2 linked regions of the Arabidopsis thaliana genome follow. The protein of the gene in region 2 interacts with the protein of the main gene of each other region in a pairwise test. Each region holds a gene or a part of one and is shown on either strand. Other genes may lie near its edges.

Region 1 (7,585 bases), on a different chromosome or scaffold from region 2:
GAGACACCGACATGAGATCAGATGCAATTATGCAGATATGATTCGCTTTTTAACTGTCTTTTTCTTTCATATAAACGTATAGAATGTGCGTGTAATTCTTGACTTTGCATATTGTTAATGTTATCAAACCAAATCATATCACTATATGTGATTCTGACTTTGATGAAGCTATTGTGTGAACGTTTCCATTTGTAGGTATAAAGTGTGACTTTGAATCTAGTGTGAACCATGTATACATAGATTATTGCCGTTTTTATATTTCATGGACGGTCCACGTCCACGTGGTGTTTCCTTATATACACAAACACGTCGTTTCTTTGACGGAGAGAACAACTTCATGCCGTTTTCTTGAAAACACATTCTCGACGTTTCATCATCCATTGAAAACGAAAGTAAAGTTCCGTTTAAGTTTTGGCAACATATGAACTACGTGTTGTCTTTATGAGAGACATTTCTTCTTTTTTTCACTTTACCTTTTCCTATCAGTAGGTCAGGTGTGTGTGCAAAACAAACAATGAAACTAGTTTGCATTAATGAAAATTTTTAACTTGTGGAGTTGGATCCAATAATAAGATAAATTTCATTCTCAAACATGAATTCCCAAATTTCACACATGAAATCTCCCAAAGTGTTCCCTCTATTCAACGCAACTAATCATTTTTTATGTAAAGAACTTTGAATTAACCCTAAGTGCAGTAATAACTTCTTACACAACAAGCCTATACAGTTACAGAGACACAACATTTCCCTCCAAAAAACCTCTCTATTATACAAAAAAACAAGAATCCCTCTTGATTCAAGAAACAGATGCATGTTCTTCTTCTTCTTCAGATTCATGTATAGATTTCATCTAGGACCAGAGAGCTCCATTGCTTGCACAAGTAAACTAGAGTCATCGGTAAGATCAGAGTATCTGTCTGAAGATGACATCAATTCATTTATCCTGTTGCTACATTTTGAAACACTGTCTGATCTTTGAGAAGCTTCCCATTTCTCTGCAAGTCCATCTCCTTCCAGCATTCGAACAACTTCAGACATTTTTGGTCTATGTCCTGGCAGGTACTGTGTGCACAACAAAGCTACTCTTACCATTTCGTCTAACTCAATCTCATCGTAGCTCTTCTTCTTCAACAACTCTTTATCCACAAGTAGCTCAAGTTTCTTCTCTTGATGAATCTTTTTAACCCAATCAAGCATCACACCTTTCTGGTTAGCCGCTTTACCAAACTCAAAAGCTCTTTGTCCGGTTACAAGCTCAAGAAGAAGAATCCCGAAGCCAAAAACATCTGTTTTCTCAGAGGATTGACCAGTTGAGAGATACTCTGGAGCAATGTGACCCACCGTGCCTCTAACCGCGGTTGTCACATGAGAATCTTGATGATCCAAGAGTTTAGCTAAACCAAAATCGCCAACCACAGCTTCACAGTAGTCATCAAGAAGTATATTCGCTGCTTTGACATCGCGGTGGATAATCTTCGGATCACATTGCTCATGGAGATACACAAGCCCTCTTGCAGCTCCTATGGCTATCCTCTTCCTTATGCTCCAGTCAAGAACAGGTTTTGCTTTCATTCGAGATGCAACGCTTCCATTAGACATATAAGGATAAACTAGAAGCTTCTCAGTTTGTGTGATGCAGAAACCGTAGAGTCTTAAGAGATTTCGATGAACAGCTAAACTGATCATTTCAACTTCTGTCTGAAACTGAATCTCTCCTCCCAATGCTCCTCCATCTTTAAGCCTTTTCACTGCAACCACTGTACTATCTCCAAGTATTCCTTTGTATACATTTCCATAGCCACCTTTCCCCAATAAGTTCTTACTGCTGAAGTTATTGGTCGCAATCTGAAGCTCCCTGAAACCAAATCTCCTCAGGTTTCCAAGTGAAACTTCCTCATGATGATTCCCATCTGTTGAATAAAAGAACTTTCTTTATAAAAAAAAAAAACTTTATAAGATTGTTCTGTGCAAGTAATAAACTGAGTAAGATCAAACCTTTAACATCAAAGAATGTGTTTTGGTTATGTCTTTGTCTCCACCAGAGAAACAAACCAACAGCAATGAAGATTAATGATACAGTCCCAACGCTGGATCCAACAGCGATTGCCATTTTGTGATTCCTCGATCCACCGGCGTATAAAGGAACTTAAAAAAGAAAGCAGTTTGTTGTTAGTTAGGTATGATCATAATACTAAGATTGAAAGTTTTAAAGGAAGTTCGTTATTTACCTCCAGTTTGATTCAAGTTCATAGACATAGGTATCAATGTTGTTCCATTGCAGTCTGGTTCGGTACCCGTTGGACATATCAGCGGGTTCCCAACGATGCTGTAATCCGAAGGGAAACAATGAAAGGTTATCATACGGACAAAGAGAGTGAAAGAGTGAGACATTGTCAATAAATCAAATTACCTAAACGTCTTTGCAGCAAATCTTGGAACAGGACCACTAAGATTGTTGTATGATAAATCACTGGAAACAAAAAAAAAAACAGATCAAATCTCAACATTTCATGTCTCTACATATGAATTTCTTTACTGGTTAATGTAAACTGAAGATTTATTAGCTTACAGAAAGGCAAGTTGAGTCATATTAGATAGTGACAGAGGAAACACTCCAGAGAGAGAATTGTTGTTAAGCCTCCTGATGATACACAACATGACATATCAAGATCACAAATTCCTTATAAAAACAACACAAAATTTAAAAGATCCATAACAAATTTTTACTATTCTTACAGATATTGCAGGCTTTGTAGATAGCCTACTGAAAAAGGAATTTCACCGTGGAAGAAATTATCAGAAAGATCAAGAGTCTCAAGCCTCGTAAGCCGACCAATCTCAGCAGGAATTTTTCCTTTTATGTTGTTGTTCTGCAACAGCCTGTAAGAGGAAAAAATCATCAAGAACACACACACACACACAAAACAGAAGAATTTAATCAAATTTTAAACTTAATAATCATTTAGTGAACAGTAAGTACTTACACAATCCGAAGATTTGTTAAGTTGGTAATGCTTGGAGATAGTGTACCAGATAAATTCTGACTTGGTGTGCCTCTGTAATAAAATTTATATCATTGTTTTCCTTGCTTGCTCATCAGTGTAATATACAGTATAAGTGTATCAATGTAAAATGTGAAACTTACAAGCCAATGACAAAGTTTTCAGAAGAACAAGTGACCATTGTCCAACTACAAGGATCAACAGCATCTCTATCCCAGTTATCAAGAACACCATGAGGATCATGTAATGAAGCTTTTATGTCCATCAAAGCTTGCACTGACGAAAATAAAAAACTCCCATATTAGTTTGGATCAAGAAGAAATATATACTTTTATTTGAATTCCCATCAACTAAAAATTCCAGAAAGACCAAATATCAAACACTTCATCTACGAAAGTGACAATGTAAAAAAAAAAAAAAGAGAGAGAATCCAAAGAGTGAGACTTTACAGTGAATATACCTTCAAAGTTAACACCTTTAGGAGAAAGCAATCCGTGAACAGAAGAGCAGAGAAGGCATAAAAATCCCAAGAAGCAAAAGAAAGATCTTGTTATCATCATCATCATAACAATAGTACTCTCCATTGTTGAAACAGAGGAATGAGCAGAAAACAAGATGTACTCAGCTTCCAGATAATTTGGTATTTGATGGAGAGAGAAAGACAGAGAGAGTGAGATTGGAAGAATCAAAAAACCAAATCTCTATCCTTTTTTCATTTCAATTTTGGTTAAAGTATAAAAACATTTCAACATCAAGATGAACCCACTTCACCAAAAGCATAACCTTTATTTTAAAAAAAACTATTTTTTTGTATGTCAGAAACAAGATATACAAACTTTATAGAGATACCAGATTCATTGGTAGTCTAAAGTGAAATTAGAATAGCATGCTTGTCGATAAAGTTTGTGTGTGGGGAGACCGTTAAAAAAGTAATAAATTTATATTAAAAATTTGTAAGAAAAGATATTATAAAAATAATTTTGCCCATATTGTTTCTTGTAATCGACAAGAATAGTCAGTAAAGCAAATCTATATTTTGTGTATTTCAAAAATTTTGAAGGGTAAAGCAGGAAATTAGATTACTGTTCTTTTGCTAGCTGCCACCCTGTCATGTTTTTGTCTATGGTTTCTAATTTTAGTTTAGAATATACAGTGTTTTTGTTACATTTTCCTATTTCTTAATTTATTTCACATTACACTTACATAGATTGTTTTTCGAGTGTTGAAATCTGATGAAAAAGAGTTGTTAAGTTTCAAGGGTATGATTAAATCACATTGTTGACTGATTGCTTGGTGTAAACGGAACCCAACAATCCATGGTTGGTCATGCATAGGCTAGACTTTATTAATTCCTCCGTATATAGAATGTTTTTGTATGCAATTTTTTTTTTTTTTTTTGATTAATATGTTTTGAGAATGTGAGAACTTCGATGAGAAGATTATACTGTATGAAAAACTAGGCTCAAGATACTTCTGTCTACTATATTGATTTTGTTGCCCACTCAAATTTTCAGCATCTTTGTCTTCTCGATGTGTGGAAATACGAAGATATTAGTACAAGTATTGAAGGATAAGCTTTTTTTTCTTCAAAAAAATGTTGTAAGTTAATTATTTATAATAGTCTTTTAAAAAATTTAGATCTAAAAGAAATAAATTCGATAAATCCCACTAAGAGCAACGATCACATTTAACTTCCATCAGGAAAACAAATCTGTATAGATAACAAATTTCAGAATACAACACCTTTTCTTAATAGTCAAAATGCAAATATTTTAACCCACTCTTTTTTTATTTGACTACTACAAGATTTATATTCACAATAAGATTTTCAATATTTTGTAGTGTGTAGTAATAATAGATGTATAAGATAACCCAGTATCCAAGTCCAAGACATTACAATTTGTCCAAACCTCGTGTCGTTTTCATGGGTTTTTGTCTATGTGTGAGTTGGCAGTAATATTATGACATGCATTTGCATTTGTTCGAAGTATATACTACTATATGATCTTAAAACGAATATGGTTTACCTGGTTAAGTGAAATACTTAATTATCATCATTCATTATAGTTATGCTGGCTTTTAAAGATTTCAATCATCTGAAATTTTGGAGAAGTTTTTTTATAATATTACATAAACTAGTAAATATATCTTGTAATTTCATTTTTCCCTTAACCAAATTTTTGAAACTTAACGTCAAATTATCTTGTTTCGAAAAGTTGGTTAACAGAAAAATTACACAATAATATTTGCTTAGATTCTGATTTCGATCAACAAAGTACGTAATATGTGTTTACTATATCAAGAAATGTTGTTTACTTAGTAAGAATACATGTGAATCATTTATTTTTCTTGTAATGGAGCACACATTAAAAATGATTTTGCAAGGTTCTATTTATTTAACTATATATATTCACATTCGTACATCATCGTTATCTTCATCAATGCGTACCGACCTGTAAACCAAAAGGAAAGAAACAAAAACAAATATTCTAAATTTGTGGTGAACAAACAATATATAAAATTTCCTTGTTCAAGAACTACTTTCATTCCTAGTCAAGTTTTTATAGTTTGGTCTCCACGTGACACGGTTTCTTAAAACTCGATTTATGAGAAACAATCATTAATATTTAATGCTTTTTCTCGTTGATTTGACGTTTGATGGTAAATGGGTTCTGTGACTTTCAGGGGAAACAAAAATGAAAATCATAAATTTTTATAAGATTACAAAACATGACATGAACTATTGTGCAGAATGCAGATAGGGAAAAATGGTTCCCAACTTGAGTCCTATGCCTAGGGCACTGAAGCTAAATTGTCTCAACTTCAATCATGTTAGGGAGACTGCATGATTGGTTATATTAGATTATTGGCCATAGTTTTATATGAACTCACGAAAGTTTTTTTCCCGTGATTACTACAGTCTTCAGATTTTGTAAATTAGTTTAAAATTTGATACAAAAGTTGTTAGTCACAACATATATATACACATTACACAATGACAAATTGCTCATCGTTTTATTTTATTTCAAGTGTTCTAAATCGGTTATGAAGATTCAAACTACTTCTGCCATTTACAGCCATTACATTGTCTATATATGCTTGGCAATGTATAATTAATTCGATACACCCGATTGTCTAAGACTTTGTTTTTTCTCACTTAGAGTTTTGTATTTGTCTTTTTTTCACTCACCTAATTGTCATCAAATTCTTGGTTAGACGAAAATGAGATTTTACTATAGATTATAGATTATGATTATTATTTGATATCCAAAGACGGTTTATATACTTGATTAAGGTGGCTAAAAGTATTAGTTTCCTTACACTGTATTAGGCCTAATAACACAAAATTAAAAAGTATTTAAGAGCATATGGAATGGAAGCTTTTCTTTTTTGAATATTACACTAACAATTCCTGAAATTAAGTGGACTGTTAGTCATCAAGTAGACAATAACAAACAATTTATAATCATAATGTTTCCTAGAATCCGTTGAAATCATGAAATTTTGAAATTAATTTGGGGTTCCATTTGAATAAAATACCTCAATAATTGTATTTGCATGGTCTATTGGAATATAATGATTATAACTAGGGTGAACGACCTGTGTTCCTATGGGAAGTTTCATATACACTCACAACTTCACAGATTTCGGACCTCGTCTCCAATCCACACCAAATGAAAGTTCTAAACCTCAGTCTCCCTAAATCAAAAGTTCAAATCTTCAGTCCACAAAATTTTGAATTTCGTGGTTTATCGTTGGTTTACTGTACCCGAAACAACATTAACCGTATAAGAACGAAACTAAATCGGATTAACACATAAACCAACCCGTTTTATTACCCAAACAACCCGACTAAATTCAGAAAACCCCCAATTCAAAAAATCCCTAATTCGATAGAACCCTAAAATTGAAAAATCCCCAGTTTTTGAATTCGATGGATGCGAATGAATTTGAGACGAATGCTTTAATCGTTCATCAGGAGGCTACCGGAACTGGTCCGCAAGAGTTTGAAGGAGAAGAAATTCTAATGGAGGACGATGTTCCTGACGACGAAGATCCGAGGGACCGAGACGCGTTTGAAATCGAGAAGGCCGTAAATGAGTTCAGAGATGAGCCTTCGATTCTTCACGACGAGTATCCGGACAGTGACAATGATGAAGATGAGGATGTTGTTCGGGAGAGAAAGCGTGAGAACAGTAGACGTGGAGGAGGGAATCTCTACTATCACCAGACATTCTTCAACGAGATAGCCTTTAAGGAAGTTGTACTCGACCATGCCTTGAAGACAGGATGCAACATTGCACAATACATGTATGATAAAGATAAGGTTGCTTTTAAGTGTGATGGTGATGGTTGTGTATGGCGAATCTATTGTGCAGTGCCTAAAAAATGTCCTAAGTGGAGAGTGAATGTGTTCAAGGATGTGCATACATGTATTCCAAATGGTGATTGTGAAATGTTGAAGGTTCCTGTGATTTCTAGGTTATTTTTAGATAACATTAGAGAAGAGCCTCAGTATTTCATGCCTATGAAGATTGAGGAAACCATTAAAAAAAGATGGAAGATCACTGTATCTAGGCCTC
Region 2 (6,006 bases):
GTATGTTCTTGGTCTTAATCCAATGTTTTCTCGCTCTCATTTTCTCACAACTGCTCTGTGATTTCTTCTATAGGTTAGAGCAGACGTGACAGAAGGTCCTGATAAGCTAGCTGAAGTTATAGGTGATGATTCTCAAGCTGTGATTTGTGCTACTGGGTTTCGTCCCGGATTTGATATATTCACTCCTTGGAAAGTCGATAATTTCGGGACAGTGAATCTTGTGGATGCTTGCCGTAAACAAGGAGTGGAAAAGTTTGTTCTTGTAAGCTCCATCTTGGTGAATGGAGCTGCCATGGGACAGATACTGAACCCTGCTTACCTCTTCCTCAACCTCTTTGGACTAACTCTTGTCGCTAAGCTTCAAGCCGAGAAGTATATCAAAAAATCTGGCATCAACTATACTATAGTAAGGCCTGGTGGTCTTAAAAACGATCCTCCAACTGGAAATGTTGTCATGGAGCCAGAGGTAAAACACAGCCTTTGATATTTGTTTCATCTGTTTTGTGCTGGAAACTGATAAAGATCTGACCTTTGATTTTTGTAGGATACTCTATATGAAGGGAGTATATCGAGAGACCTGGTCGCAGAAGTTGCAGTGGAAGCTTTACTTCAAGAGGAATCATCTTTCAAGGTTGTGGAGATAGTTGCTCGTGCCGAAGCTCCAAAACGTTCCTACAAAGATCTATTTGCCTCTGTTAAAGGACAATAAACTAGAATGTAATGAGTCTCATGCTCAAACCTTTTATTTCTCTTATGTCTTGAGTACAACAAACAGATTACATAGACTTTTGCGCATAAATTGAGTTCAAGATAAGTATTGAAAGAGTTCCATTCAGTTTCATATCTTATCCATTTTGGGTCTTAAGAACCCCATCATCACTGGCGCTTCTTCCCGGTCGCATGTTCCCATGAGTGCATGACATGGTTCACGATTTCCTCGACTCCAAGCCCATGCTTCACCTGCCAATGTTTAGTAATCAAAGAAGACTCTTTTGTAAGTACTAAGGTCATTGGTTATATAAGTGATGAAACATATTTCTGAAGATGGCGAACCTGAGCAAAGACAAATGGCCCTCCATCACGCATGCGTAGTGAATCCCTTTCCATGACCGATAAGTCAGCCCCAACAGCTGCTGCAAGGTCAGTCTTGTTTATCACCTGCAGTTGGAAAAATCCACAAGAGATTCTTTCACACTACTATAGACTTGATCAAAAGGAGTAAGTGAAGAGTTAAGGCAGCATAAGCGCACCAGAAGATCAGCTTGAGTGATTCCAGGGCCGCCTTTACGGGGTATTTTATCACCAGCCGATACATCGATGATGTAGATGATATAGTCAGCTAGTTCTCTACTGAAATTAGCAGCTAAATTATCTGCAACACACAACACTAAGCCTATTCATATCTCATTGGTTCCTTGAGAAACAGAAATCTATATATCGTGCAGATTAACTATCAAGAACTAGCTAGAAATGAAACCTCACCTCCACCGGATTCACAAAGAAGCAAATCAGCCTTGAATAAGTTAGATAACTCCTCAAGAGGACCCAAATTGATACTGATATCTTCACGGATAGCAGCGTGTGGACATCCACCTGTTTCAACAGCTCTAATCCTTTCCTCAGGAAGAGCCCCATTCTTCACCAGAAACTCACCATCCTCTTTCGTGAATATATCATTTGTCACCTACAACGTTTACAATATCAAAATCTTATTTAGTCACATGAGTGAGATCGAGAAAACAATCTTGTGTTTGCCACTGATAATAATACTCACAGCAGCAAGACTATATTTGTCCCTCAAGAATCTACAAAGAGCAAGCATCAATGCCGTTTTCCTGAGTCAACAAAAACAACAATCCAATGGTGATTAGACTAAAAAGTTTGACACTTTTATGAAACCCAAATCTTAAAATAGCATTCCAAAGAACCCAGACAAGAACATTATCATAGATTCATGCTTAATCCTTAACCCAGAGATTAAAATTTGTTACGGTACCAAATTACAAAATCAAGCAGTAAATTTGATCATGAAATGATTACCCAGTGCCAACGGGACCGCCAATACCGACGGTAAAAGCTCTCTCAGAGAAGTTACGGTCGTGAAGCGGAGGAGCTCGGCGACTGAAGTAGCCAGGAGAGTAGATGGGTTCGTGTGAGTGAGGTGCGAGTCCATCGTGGCTATGGTACACCTTCCCGTCCTTCCCCACCCACGACGCCTTCCCTTCTCCGCCGTCTGATTTCCTACTTGACAGAAGAAGTAGAGAAACAGATTAGTGAGGGGAATAAATCGTATCAAGATCAGAACTTTACAGAGAAAATCAATGATAACACGAACTCGTGGTCATGCTCATGATCGTGATGATGATGATGGTGGTCGTGTGATGCCATTTCCGAGAGACTCGAATCTTCTTCCGGTAGCTGTGTTGACTTTGAGTAGAGCTACTACTGGGATTCTGGGATCATTAAGCACAGTTTTTAATGTAAGAATCTTTCTATATTTTTCTATCCTAAGTGAAAGGAGATGCTTTCTCTGTCGGGAGCATAAAATGACTGTAATACCCCTGTCATATGTTAAGTGTTTGAAGGCAAAATTACAGTAGAGGAAACGTATTTTAACTGACACCAAGTTGGTATCACAGTCCAAGACTTAAAATCTTTCACTTTAAAGAAGCGATGGTTGTTAACACAATAAAGAGCACAAAATATAGGAATTAAGGGAAAGGTTTTTTCATAAGTAGGAAACAAGAAGCATAAAATCCAGACAAAGTCGAGTTCACATTCATGAGTACGCCTAACATATTGAAAAACAAAAATAACCGATAAAATCCAAAACGGGAGAGAGCACAGCTTCAACATCGATTCCACCCCAAAAAAGAGTCAATCAGAGACGTTTTACATGAACAAGTTGGGCTTGTTGGCCTTGTAAGTCGTCTTCAGCTTCCTGCTTGGTGGTCTAACCTTGCGGAACACCAATGGGAACTTGATCTTGCTGTTGTGGAACTGTTTAGTGCTCTCTCTCTTGCACAGCTTGGCTGGGACAGTGGCTGTCTTGATGATCTGAATGCAAGGGAATCTGACACGGTGACGGGATGCCATCTCAGTGTACATCTGCTCAACAGCTCCGTTAAGAGTGGTGTCACGGTACTCCTTGTACATGTTGTGGTACCCAGTTCTACTCTGGTACCTCAACCAAATACCGAAGTTCTTGATCGTTGTTGGGTTCTTCTCATAGATCTGTGCAAACAATTTGGTAATAGATTACATTAGTCAAGAGAGGGGCCAAGGAGCAATCAAACAATATAAACTCATGATAAAAACGTGATATGGTTTCAATTTCGATTCAATAGCAAGTCGAGAGAATCAAGTAAGAGACTTTGGTGAATCTAAGTTTTCTCATTTGATGACAGACAGCAAATGAAAAGTATTAACCTAGACTAACAGACAAAGAAATTATCAGAATCAGCAAAATTAGAAGTATGATACAAATAGATTCAAAGCCATGAGAGATTTGCATGATCAGGCTATTTGAAAGTTACATAAAAGTATTGTATAATAGTCAGGCAAACAAAAGACTCTGCATTTATAGGTTAAACAAAGACGCAAACGTGATCAATCAAAACCCTAGTGTTCTAGTCAAGCAAATACATTCACTTTCCAGATAAATGAATCTAAGTGCCTAACTCAATAAGATATAAGAAGTCAAACGAGATTGCGTCATTTCACAAATGAACAAGTACCTCGTTGATGGCGAGCATCTGTCCATTACTCTTCTTCACCTTCTTGAGCTTCCTCAAGAAATACCTAATCCAAATAACACACTCTAATTAAAGATCAAGCTCATATCATTCTCAGCAGCAACAAAAATGGAAAAGAGAGAGAGAAAGAATATGATTACTAACCAGAACTTGGACTTGGCACGAACCTCGTTCGTAGCCCAGAGCTTCATCCTGTAAATCTTAGGCTGCACATCCTTCTCTGTCGGGAGAGCTCTTCCCACAACCTGGTACTGGTGAAACTGCAAATGAAACCAGACAAAGCTTAGATCAGATTCTTTCTTCGAGTCCGAAACTTGAATCAGCAGCAAATAGTGTCATTGAAATCAACAAGGAATCAAAGAGCTTACCCTGAAAGCACCCATTTTTCGTCTGGAGAGAGACAATGCGGTGGAAACCTCAACCAAATATAAGCGGCTAGGGTTCTTCTTCTTTATAAATGAGCATCTGCCCAAAAACCCTAATTCTAAAACTGATATCATAAAAGCCCAATGGGCTGTTAATTGTAATCAAGTCTTAGCCCACCCGAAATTTGGTTATTTCCTCCTCCTCATTTTATTATTTCTCTCTAGTCAAATTTTTGTAGCAAGTTTCAATATTATATCCTTACCAGGCCAAATAGTGCACACACACATACGGGAAAAAAAAAAAAAAAAAAAAAAAACCATTTTATTTGAAGAGGGGTGAAAGTGAAAATCATTAACCAAAAAATATGAAAGTGAAAAACTACCAAACTTTATCTGTTTAAAGCAAAACGACAGAAGACAGATGTGGGTTACGACAAAGCCCAAACACACATATATAGGTCCAATCCACTCTATAGTAGCATTGTGAGATCCAACGAAGTAAATTAGTGGGTGATGAGGACACGCAAACACGAGCGCAAGAAAGAAAAAAAAAAAAAAAAGGTAATCAAGGTCGTTATTGCATACTGTGTATCTCACACATTCATTGCATAATTGTGACACGCCAACGCCATTGATGAAGACTCTCGACGATGACAAAAGGACTTGTATATGATTAAATTGTACTGTTTAATCAAGATGCTCAGCAACTCCTATCCAAACATAATTGTTTGACAAGAAATCAATACATATGTCAAAATCATATGTCAGCATCTTCAGATATATTTTTCTTCGCATTGTAAATATTAGCAATTAAATCTCATTCTCATTAATTTAGAAAATAATACAATTGGGGGTTTATATACAACTTAACCAAAGGCTTAAACCATAAGCCATAAACCAAAACTTAAACCAAAACTAAGATTAATTTATAGAAATATCAATCTGTACATACTCTCTATACTATAAGATAACTATATACAATAATAGTAAATCTTCTCAGTTTTTACGTACTTTGCTTTTATGGCTAAATTGTAAATATCATTAAAATAAATAATCAGGTCTTAAACTTTGGTTAGTAGCTAGAACCTATATAATTGAAAGTGTGAAACCTTGACAGTTGACACAAAAAGAGAATAAAAAACTAGGAATCAAATTTTTTCTAAGAGAAAACATGGGTGACTTCATGGCAACCATAGTGCCATCAAATTTCGGAATTGTTTACTTTGCGACATCAACACTTTACTACACCTATCGTCACAGTGTTATTTTATCTTGCTAATCGTATAGATAAAATATTAATATTAATTATCTTACAAAAATGTAAATAAGAAAATGAAATGTAAAAATCTAACAGGAACTATAGGGTTGTATATGTATATTAGTATATCTTAACGATCCAAATGTACAATAATACCGAGAATGTGTGAATTCTTTTACGGTTTTGGCTTTCTGTCGTTATATACCACGAGGCGATATTGTTATCTCTATTTGAATCGAAAAATAGAGAAAATGACATAAAATACATGAAACACGTTATAGAATCACTGGGGTCCAAACAAAATAAGACAGTACAGATTAATGGCAAAACAATGACTTCTCAAATTCAACAAGACATAACGCTCTAGTGGAACTCACCTCACGAGACACATCACGATCACGAACAACAATAATAGTAATCACACTCATGAGTATTGACTTTGATCACCAATAATTTGTAACAAAAATCCAAATCAGAGGTTCGGATACGTTACGATGCGCTTAGACAAGAACACCGTGCACCCGTCCTTTGGCGATATCGTGGGACAGTATATGATGTCATCGCAACCGTCCGATTGAAGTCTCTTGAAATCAAACAACGATGAGAACATAGCGATGAAGAGCACGAG

What was found. The genes of interacting proteins can lie anywhere in the genome.
Region 1: the proteins of AT2G34480 (region 2) and NIK1 interact in a two-hybrid assay, tested with the Arabidopsis thaliana proteins (one study listed by BioGRID).

Annotation. Positions count from the first base shown.
Region 1 is NC_003076.8:5,220,265-5,227,849, reverse strand, and holds NIK1 (NSP-interacting kinase 1), read right to left. Parts: upstream 3,917-7,585; 5' UTR 3,587-3,916; coding exon 3,463-3,586; intron 3,279-3,462; coding exon 3,146-3,278; intron 3,057-3,145; coding exon 2,985-3,056; intron 2,881-2,984; coding exon 2,737-2,880; intron 2,642-2,736; coding exon 2,570-2,641; intron 2,471-2,569; coding exon 2,411-2,470; intron 2,327-2,410; coding exon 2,229-2,326; intron 2,146-2,228; coding exon 1,996-2,145; intron 1,911-1,995; coding exon 847-1,910; 3' UTR 562-846; downstream 1-561.
Region 2 is NC_003071.7:14,530,024-14,536,029, forward strand, and holds AT2G34480 (Ribosomal protein L18ae/LX family protein), read right to left. Parts: upstream 4,387-6,006; 5' UTR 4,256-4,386; coding exon 4,124-4,255; intron 4,016-4,123; coding exon 3,900-4,015; intron 3,802-3,899; coding exon 3,738-3,801; intron 3,235-3,737; coding exon 2,893-3,234; 3' UTR 2,601-2,892; downstream 1-2,600. Other genes in the region: AT2G34460 (NAD(P)-binding Rossmann-fold superfamily protein), read left to right, coding at 74-466, 545-709; UREG (urease accessory protein G), read right to left, coding at 877-960, 1,054-1,158, 1,251-1,372, 1,483-1,684, 1,775-1,835, 2,041-2,244, 2,336-2,388; CYP710A2 (cytochrome P450, family 710, subfamily A, polypeptide 2), read right to left, coding at 5,851-6,006.